Xenopus tropicalis: one gene and its partner. The protein of the gene in region 1 purifies or fractionates together with the protein of each later gene. This does not show direct contact. Links are inferred from orthologs where the notes say so. Each region holds a gene or a part of one and is shown in the gene's direction. Other genes may lie near its edges.

Region 1 (4,428 bases):
TTTCTATAGTTTAGTAGCCGTGACAAGTAGCTGCTACTAAGTAGCTCTGTGTGTCTACACCCTTAAAAGGAACAACATCAGATCAAATACAAGATGCTCAGTCTACAGCAGGAATTGGTAATCCGGTAACTCCTAGTTACTACTCCCAGTAGGTCACTTTACATAGAGATTATAGAAATTACACTTCTTAGGCTGAAGACACACGGAGCTACTAGTAGCAGCTACTAAACTCCAGAAAATCCCCTGCCATAGACAATACTGAGAATTGCCTCTGCTAAAACACACGTAGAGACAATTATCAGTAAATGATCAGCACTGTCTGTTTTAGTAGCTGCTACTAAGTAGCTCCGTGTGTCTTCTTCCTAAGGGTGAAGACACACGGAGCTACTAGTAGCAGCTACTTGTCACAGCTACTAAACTCCAGAAAATCCCCTGCCATAGACAATACTGAGAATTGCCTCTGCTAAAACACACGTAGAGACAATTATCAGTAAATGATCAGCACTGTCTGTTTTAGTAGCTGCTACTAAGTAGCTCCGTGTGTCTTCTTCCTAAGGGTGAAGACACACGGAGCTACTAGTAGCAGCTACTTGTCACGGCTACTAAACTCCAGAAAATCCCCTGCCATAGACAATACTGAGAATTGCCTCTGCTAAACACACACAGAGACAATTATCAGTAAATGATCAGCATTGTCTGTTTTAGTAGCCACTAGCTACTAGCTGCTACTAGTAGCTCCGTGTGTCTTCACCCTTATAGATTTGAATTAAGACGACGACCCCCTTACAGTGTTCAATCTATTCAGTCTGTCTTCATTCCTACGCAGCGCTGTGTTCTATACAAAATATAGGAGACATTGTTTTTTACAACATGCCCAGTAAGTGGGCTGAAAATGTCTCAGAAAGTGCAATTTTTGCCAAATATTGCCCCTCACCCCTCCTATAGTATGTTATATTTCTGCCCTTTGTATCACCACAGGGAAAAAAAGTGATTTTTCTTTGGCATTGTCACATGATTGCAACTGATTTTAACCAAAGTTGTTCCTAATGACAGCTGGATTCCAATAAATGTGGCCCCCAGGTAAGTGATTTGGGGGCCCTGTCATATTTTACAGAAATACTGAGAGTTGCTGAGCAGGTTTAATATTTTAGTCAATTCCATAAATGGTGGCATTTTACCACACAAAATATTTTCTCTGTGATTAGCTTTAGCCATATAACGCCTCATATCACAGCAGGCCACCTGTTACAGTTTAATTTGCCTCAGAGATAAGAAAGCACAACATTCACCGACAAGCGCAATAACAAAACCCCACACACAAGCGCCACCTCTAAAAGCGCGCCAAAGCATAAGGTTGCAACGCATCCATTACCTACTCTTATTGGTTCACTTACTCTAGGGGGCGGATCTATGTGACCGCAAAGTCGCGTTCAATTGGTTGCGGTAGCGCTAAGTTACGGCCAATCGAGTAACTGCTTTATCCCGCTACGCATCCCATTGGCTACAAGCGCCGTCGCTTCACCGCTCCGCTTCAGTTGTTAGGGGAGGTACAAAGCAAGCGAGCAACCGGCGGCCAATTAGAGCGCAGGGAAAGTAAAAGCCCGCGAAAAGAAGAGGCACAGGCGATCCGGAGAGTGAGGCAGTAGCAGCGCAGCGAGTTACCATCATGCCCAGGGATTACCAAGCCGAGAAAGGTGAGGAGGGGAAGCCGCAGTATCAGTGAGGGGGGCTGGTTAGAGGGAGGGAGCGGAAGCTTGGGGCTCCCTTTATATTCCTGGCTTGTTTCTCCTCACAGCCAGTTCGTTTCCACAGCTCAGAGTTTATGGGGAGTTGTAGTTACACCTCGATAGTGTGCCGTACAGCACAATGACTTTACGACACTCTGCGGAAGGAGAGGCCTATAATGAAGCTGCTTTATGGGGCAGGTTTGCCTGTATCTCCCGGGGCCCCTCTGTGGCGGCAGAATGTGCTGCGGGGTGTATAGGCGGCAGCTACAAGCCTATTGGGCGCAGGTTCCGGACTGGCTGACTGTGAGGCGAGGGGGGGGGGGCGCTGGGTTACCTGTAATGTGAGGGCCCGGGATGTACCATTAGGGCCAGGGAGGGCCCGCTTTACCGGCGCGGAGTAGGGAGCGCTTCCGGTTCTGACGTCACTTCCAGCCCAGGCTGTCACGTGATACAGGGAGTCCCTTTGTGTCCCGGGGCAGCTCCATGCAACTGGCGGGGAGCCGGGAACCCCCGGAACAGGAATGGTATCGCCCGGGGCCGGCCGTTGGGGGCGGGGCTGTAGGGAAAAGCGGACGTTTATTGGATAACGGTTCCATATGGGCAGCGGGCCCTGCGCTGTACCTTCCTACACTGACACAAACATAACTACACTCACTAATGGCCCTGTCCCATACCGCTGATTGGGTCATTTCTTTATTATTATCATGTGTTCTTATAGCACCAACATATTCTGCAGCGCTGTATAGTAAGTGTAGAGTGTAAGCTCTTCTGGGCAGGGCTCCCTTCCCCTCCTGTATCGGTTCCATACATTGGACATACAGAGTAACATATAAAGCAATGAATAACCGATACAGGAGGGGAAGGGAGCCCTGCCCAAAAGAGCTTACACTCTACAAGAGAGCTTAGGGGAAGGGAACCCTGCCCAAAAGAGCTTACACTCTACAAGAGAGCTTAGGGGAAGGGAACCCTGCCCAAAAGAGCTTACACTCTACAAGAGAGCTTAGGGGAAGGGAACCCTGCCCAAAAGAGCTTACACTCTACAAGAGAACTTAGGGGAAGGGAGCCCTGCCCAAAAGAGCTTACACTCTACAAGAGAGCTTAGGGGAAGGGAGCCCTGCCCAAAAGAGCTTACACTCTACAAGAGAGCTTAGGGGAAGGGAACCCTGCCCAAAAGAGCTTACACTCTACAAGAGAGCTTAGGGGAAGGGAACCCTGCCCAAAAGAGCTTACACTGTACAAGAGAGCTTAGGGGAAGGGAGCCCTGCCCAAAAGAGCTTACAATCTACTAGAGAGCTTAGGGGAAGGGAACCCTGCCCAAAAGAGCTTACACTCTACAAGAGAGCTTAGGGGAAGGGAACCCTGCCCAAAAGAGCTTACAATCTACAAGAGAGCTTAGGGGAAGGGAGCCCTGCCCAAAAGAGCTTACAATCTACAAGAGAGCTTAGGGGAAGGGAGCCCTGCCCAAAAGAGCTTACAATCTACAAGAGAGCTTAAGGGAAGGGAGCCCTGCCCAAAAGAGCTTACAATCTACAAGAGAGCTTAAGGGAAGGGAGCCCTGCCCAAAAGAGCTTACAATCTACAAGAGAGCTTAAGGGAAGGGAGCCCTGCCCAAAAGAGCTTACAATCTACAAGAGAGCTTAGGGGAAGGGAGCCCTGCCCAAAAGAGCTTACAATCTACAAGAGAGCTTAGGGGAAGGGAGCCCTGCCCAAAAGAGCTTACAATCTACAAGAGAGCTTAAGGGAAGGGAGCCCTGCCCAAAAGAGCTTACAATCTACAAGAGAGCTTAAGGGAAGGGAGCCCTGCCCAAAAGAGCTTACACTCTACAAGAGAGCTTAGGGGAAGGGAGCCCTGCCCAAAAGAGCTTACAATCTACAAGAGAGCTTAGGGGAAGGGAGCCCTGCCCAAAAGAGCTTACAATCTACAAGAGAGCTTAGGGGAAGGGAGCCCTGCCCAAAAGAGCTTACAATCTACAAGAGAGCTTAAGGGAAGGGAGCCCTGCCCAAAAGAGCTTACAATCTACAAGAGAGCTTAGGGGAAGGGAGCCCTGCCCAAAAGAGCTTACAATCTACAAGTTCTTGTATGTTACATGTGCTTCTGAGGGTTCAGATGACTTACTGATGGCTCCTGTTGGCTTTTCCCTATAGAGAAGTGCAAGACCTTTCTGCAGGAGTTTTACAAAGATGACGAGCTTGGAAAGAAGAACTTCAAGTATGGAGTCCAGCTGGTGAGTGGCTACTGAGGGGTATGGAGTATTCTAAAGCCCCAATATAGTAGGCTTTTCATAGTGTTTTTTGATATATGCTGCACATTGGGTGGCGAAATGTAGCGCAGAAAGGTCAAGAGTTCCAATACTGCAGGTTTTAGTGTCCTCGTGCCTGTACCATGGGTCATAGTATAGCTTATTAAAGAAACGGTAACACCAAAAATACAAAATAATGTACTGTCGCCCTGCACTGGTACAGCTGGGGTGTTTGCTACAGAAACCCTACTATAGTTTATATAAATACCCCGCTGTGTAGCCCCGGGGGCAGCCATTCCTGCACCGGTACAGCTGGGGTGTTTGCTACAGAAACCCTACTATAGTTTATATAAATACCCCGCTGTGTAGCCCCGGGGGCAGCCATTCCTGCACTGGTACAGCTGGGGTGTTTGCTACAGAAACCCTACTATAGTTTATATAAATACCCCGCTGTGTAGCCC
Region 2 (3,627 bases), on another chromosome or scaffold:
ATTTCAGCAGTCTCTGGAGATGCTCGAAAGGCACTAGACATCTGCAGGTACTTATTTATATTCGGATTAAGGTTGAAAGGAATTGCAGCAGCTGGGAAAAATTCATTTACTTGATATTTTCTTTTATATAATAACTAGATAGGTTAGCAGCTACAGTAAACCTGTGTGGGTTTGTTTATGCCAAAACACTATACTTTGCAGTACCATATATTAAGGAATACACAGTAGTGGCTGCATCTTCAGACTTAGGTCTGCTGGAAGCTGCATGCAGTGGGTGGTGCATCGCTTGTATAATCAGTTCCTAGCATGCTCTGGGGAAATGCTGTTGGAAAGCTGCTCTGTTTTGCTGTTTATGCATGTCTTTCCAGGCCATAATCCTTAAATTTTTTTGCTTGTAGGAGAGCTGTTGAAATTGTTGAAGCGGATGTAAGGGGCCAGACTGTCCTCAAGCCGCTAACTGAAAGTAAGTGAATGCTTGTCTCCACTTTGTTTCCCTTTGTGCTTCTTGTTTCCTCCATACCCCATAAAGGAGCTCATTCACATACTGGGAGGATGTTTTAGGTTGCCCCTACCTGTCACAGCTAAAAAAAAATAGACTATTTTACTGATAATTGTGTGTTTTAGCAGAGGCAATGCTCAGTATTGTATATGGCAGGGTATTTTCTGGCATTTAGTAGCCATATTGAGTATCTGCTACTAAGTAGCTCTGTGTGTCTTCACTCAGAGCTTCCTGTTAGATTTGCATTATCTTTGCTGCTATGGAAGTGCTGTAATGCTATTTGTTGCATCAACTTGATAAGAATCCTTGGAACAGGTTAATATATGTAGATCTGAAAAGTGGTAGGAAGTTGTAGAAGACCTAATTATAAGAGCTGTAGTTCAATGTCGTAAATTAGTATTAAACCTAGATTCCATAGATCAGGGATCCCCAACCTTTTTTACTTGTGAGCCACATCCAAATGTAAAAAGTCTTGGAGCAACACAAGCATAAAACATGTTCCTGTGGGTGCCAAATCAGGGCTGTTATTGGCTATTTGATAGCCCCTATATGGACTGGAAGCCTACATAAGGTTCTGTTTGGCAGTACATCTGGGTTTTATGCAACCAAAACTTGCCTCCGAGCAAGGAATTCAAAAATAAGCACCTGCTTTGAGGCCACTGGGACCAACACCCAAGGTGTTTGGGAGCAACATGTTGCTCATGAGCCAATGGTTGGGGACCACTGCCATAGATACAATACGGTCACGCTCAGGGCATCTTGATGTTATAATACACCTTTAAAGTGGGCTTCCAGGGTTATCTCCTTTTTATATATAAATGTCCCTAATTGGCCTAATTACTGTGCTTTCAGAGGACTGTAAGCTCTGCAGAGAACTTCTGTGTCTTACCATGTCACCCTTAATTGTGTATTTGTTCTTATTATGCTTGTTGTCCCTCTATGTAGTTTTCTAGGTTAAATTGTACAGAGCGGTGTATCCTTGTAGCGCTATATGTTATGCATACAATATATGCCTTGCTTAGACACCGTTTCTTAATGCAATAAAATGTAGTGGACATAACTTTTTATTAATGGTCTTCGTGTTTTTTTTTTTTTTTTTTTAACTAAACTAATTGTGCTTTCTTTTTGTCATCTAGGTCTCTCTCCTAGTAAGGAAGTTCCATCAAACCCTGTTCCAAAAAAAGTCAGCCTTCCACACATCTCCCGTGTCCTGTCAGATGTATATGGGGACAAGATGGCAAGCAGTGGGGGGTCAAGCGAGAGCTTTCCCTTACAACAGAAACTGCTGGTCTGTGCCCTGCTGCTGCTAACTCGACAGAGCAAGATCAAGGAAGTCACACTTGGCAAGGTATGTCTGTTTCATGGTGCAGATATAGGTTGTTATATCAACTTTTAAATATTTAAAATATCAAACTTTTGTTCTTTCCTCATATATATTTTTGTCTTCTTCATAGTTGCACGAGGCATACAGTAAAGTCTGCCGAAAGCAGCAGGTTCCCGGCGTTGGGCAATCGGAGTGCCTGTCACTTTGTCAGCTCCTGGAGACAAGGGGCATTCTGGGGCTAAAGAAAGCCAAGGAGGCCCGGCTTACAAAGGTAATTCCATTAGTTATTTTACTTTAGGCTACTTTCATACAAACTACATGCCGCAAAATACCATTTGTTTTAATTAGTTGTATTGTTTTATTATCAAAAAGAGGGGGTTGTGGATAGGGACAAACGGAACCCGCTATTTTGGGATTCGGCCGAACCCTGAATCCTTCATATCCTAACACAAATTAGGCTAGAGAAGCGTTGGAGAACCATGCCCCCTCTTTAAAAAAACAGACTTAAGGTTTTGGTTTGGCTGAATCCCAGATTTGGTGCATCCTTAGTTGTGGAGTTAAAATGCCTTATTTAATTTTTGTTACTGATCAAAAAACTCTGTATCCCCAGTTTATAAATCTGCTATAAACGACTTAAGCAGTTAATGGCAACAGCAATGCTAATAAATTTATTGTTCTTCCTTGTAGGTATCCCTCAAGATAGAGGAGCGGGATATTGAACATGCATTCAAAGATAAAGTTCTGATTGGAAATGTTCTGAATTCGGGGATATAATGTTTTGTTCTGCGTGTATCTCTGATGTAACTTCTGTAAATTTATGTACAATTTTAGCTAATGTATCTTTAGAATTTTATCAGTTTTATTTTTTGGACACGTGACTGTTTACACTTGTGTGGGTACTTTTTTTATTTATAAAGTGAAAAAAATTGCAGGCCCCTTTTTAAAGAACAGGCACTTGGTTTTATCCTATGCCTGGTTGTCTTCCATTTTTCAGCACAGTCATAAGTATGGAGGCTTTAAGTGTCTACACATGAAATAAACTCTAGTGTCTGTTGTAAATAGTTGGCGCTGAGGGCGCTGTTTATAATTTGCTGTCATAGACAGCAATGTTAATGTTTAAGTATCTGTAAGGTACGGTCCTGTTTGTGGTGGTCTCTCGTGGACATGGTGTCTTTATGACCTGGATTATACTTGCGTTTTAATCAAGACTCCTATTTTAATAAACGTTTAAAACATTAAATCTTGTTGTTTTTTATTTGTGGGGGGCCAGGACCAATTCAAATAAAATACAGCCTCATTTTTTTGGGGGGCGGGGGGATAGTTTGAATCATTTTGTATGTTCATGTTCACTCTTATGTGTGGCACTTTGAGTATAATAAAACACACACACAGATAGATAGATATATAGATATATATATATCTATATATCTATTTCAACATTTAGCGCTGAGTGAGACACGTAGGAGGTTCTAGTGCTTTAAAGCTTACAGTAAGTGGGTAGGAAGTTCACACAGGAGGGGAGTAGTGCTCTATTTGACATTGCCAAGACTATCGGTTATGCCAGTGCTCCAAGAGGGAGTTGAGATGTAATGAAGATTCTCTAGGGAGGAATTCAGGGATGAAATTGCAGGGGTAGGAACAACCAGAGAAGTTTATGGCATGAAGCACACAGTGGCATAACTTTGAAACTGCTATCCTGTGGGACAGGCATTTTAGGCAGCAGTGGGGGCTTGGTTAGGGCTCATGGTGGGGCAGAAATGGGATATGGTCTCTTACAGGGTCTTACCAGACTCCCTGCTAGTTG

Evidence for each region. The genes of interacting proteins can lie anywhere in the genome.
Region 2: the proteins of mcm7 (region 1) and cdc6 purify together in Homo sapiens (affinity purification with western blotting; 3 studies listed by BioGRID). This does not show direct contact. The link is inferred for Xenopus tropicalis from reciprocal best matches to the Homo sapiens genes MCM7 and CDC6.

Annotation. Positions count from the first base shown.
Region 1 is NC_030679.2:144,209,728-144,214,155, forward strand, and holds the start of mcm7 (DNA replication licensing factor mcm7), read left to right. Parts: upstream 1-1,628; 5' UTR 1,629-1,666; coding exon 1,667-1,694; intron 1,695-2,061; exon of another isoform or gene 2,062-2,103; intron 2,104-3,872; coding exon 3,873-3,952; intron 3,953-4,428. UniProt on the Homo sapiens protein: Acts as a component of the MCM2-7 complex (MCM complex) which is the replicative helicase essential for 'once per cell cycle' DNA replication initiation and elongation in eukaryotic cells.
Region 2 is NC_030686.2:8,861,696-8,865,322, reverse strand, and holds the end of cdc6 (cell division control protein 6 homolog), read left to right. Parts: coding exon 1-47; intron 48-398; coding exon 399-463; intron 464-1,635; coding exon 1,636-1,847; intron 1,848-1,953; coding exon 1,954-2,094; intron 2,095-2,510; coding exon 2,511-2,597; 3' UTR 2,598-3,063; downstream 3,064-3,627. UniProt on the Homo sapiens protein: Involved in the initiation of DNA replication. Also participates in checkpoint controls that ensure DNA replication is completed before mitosis is initiated.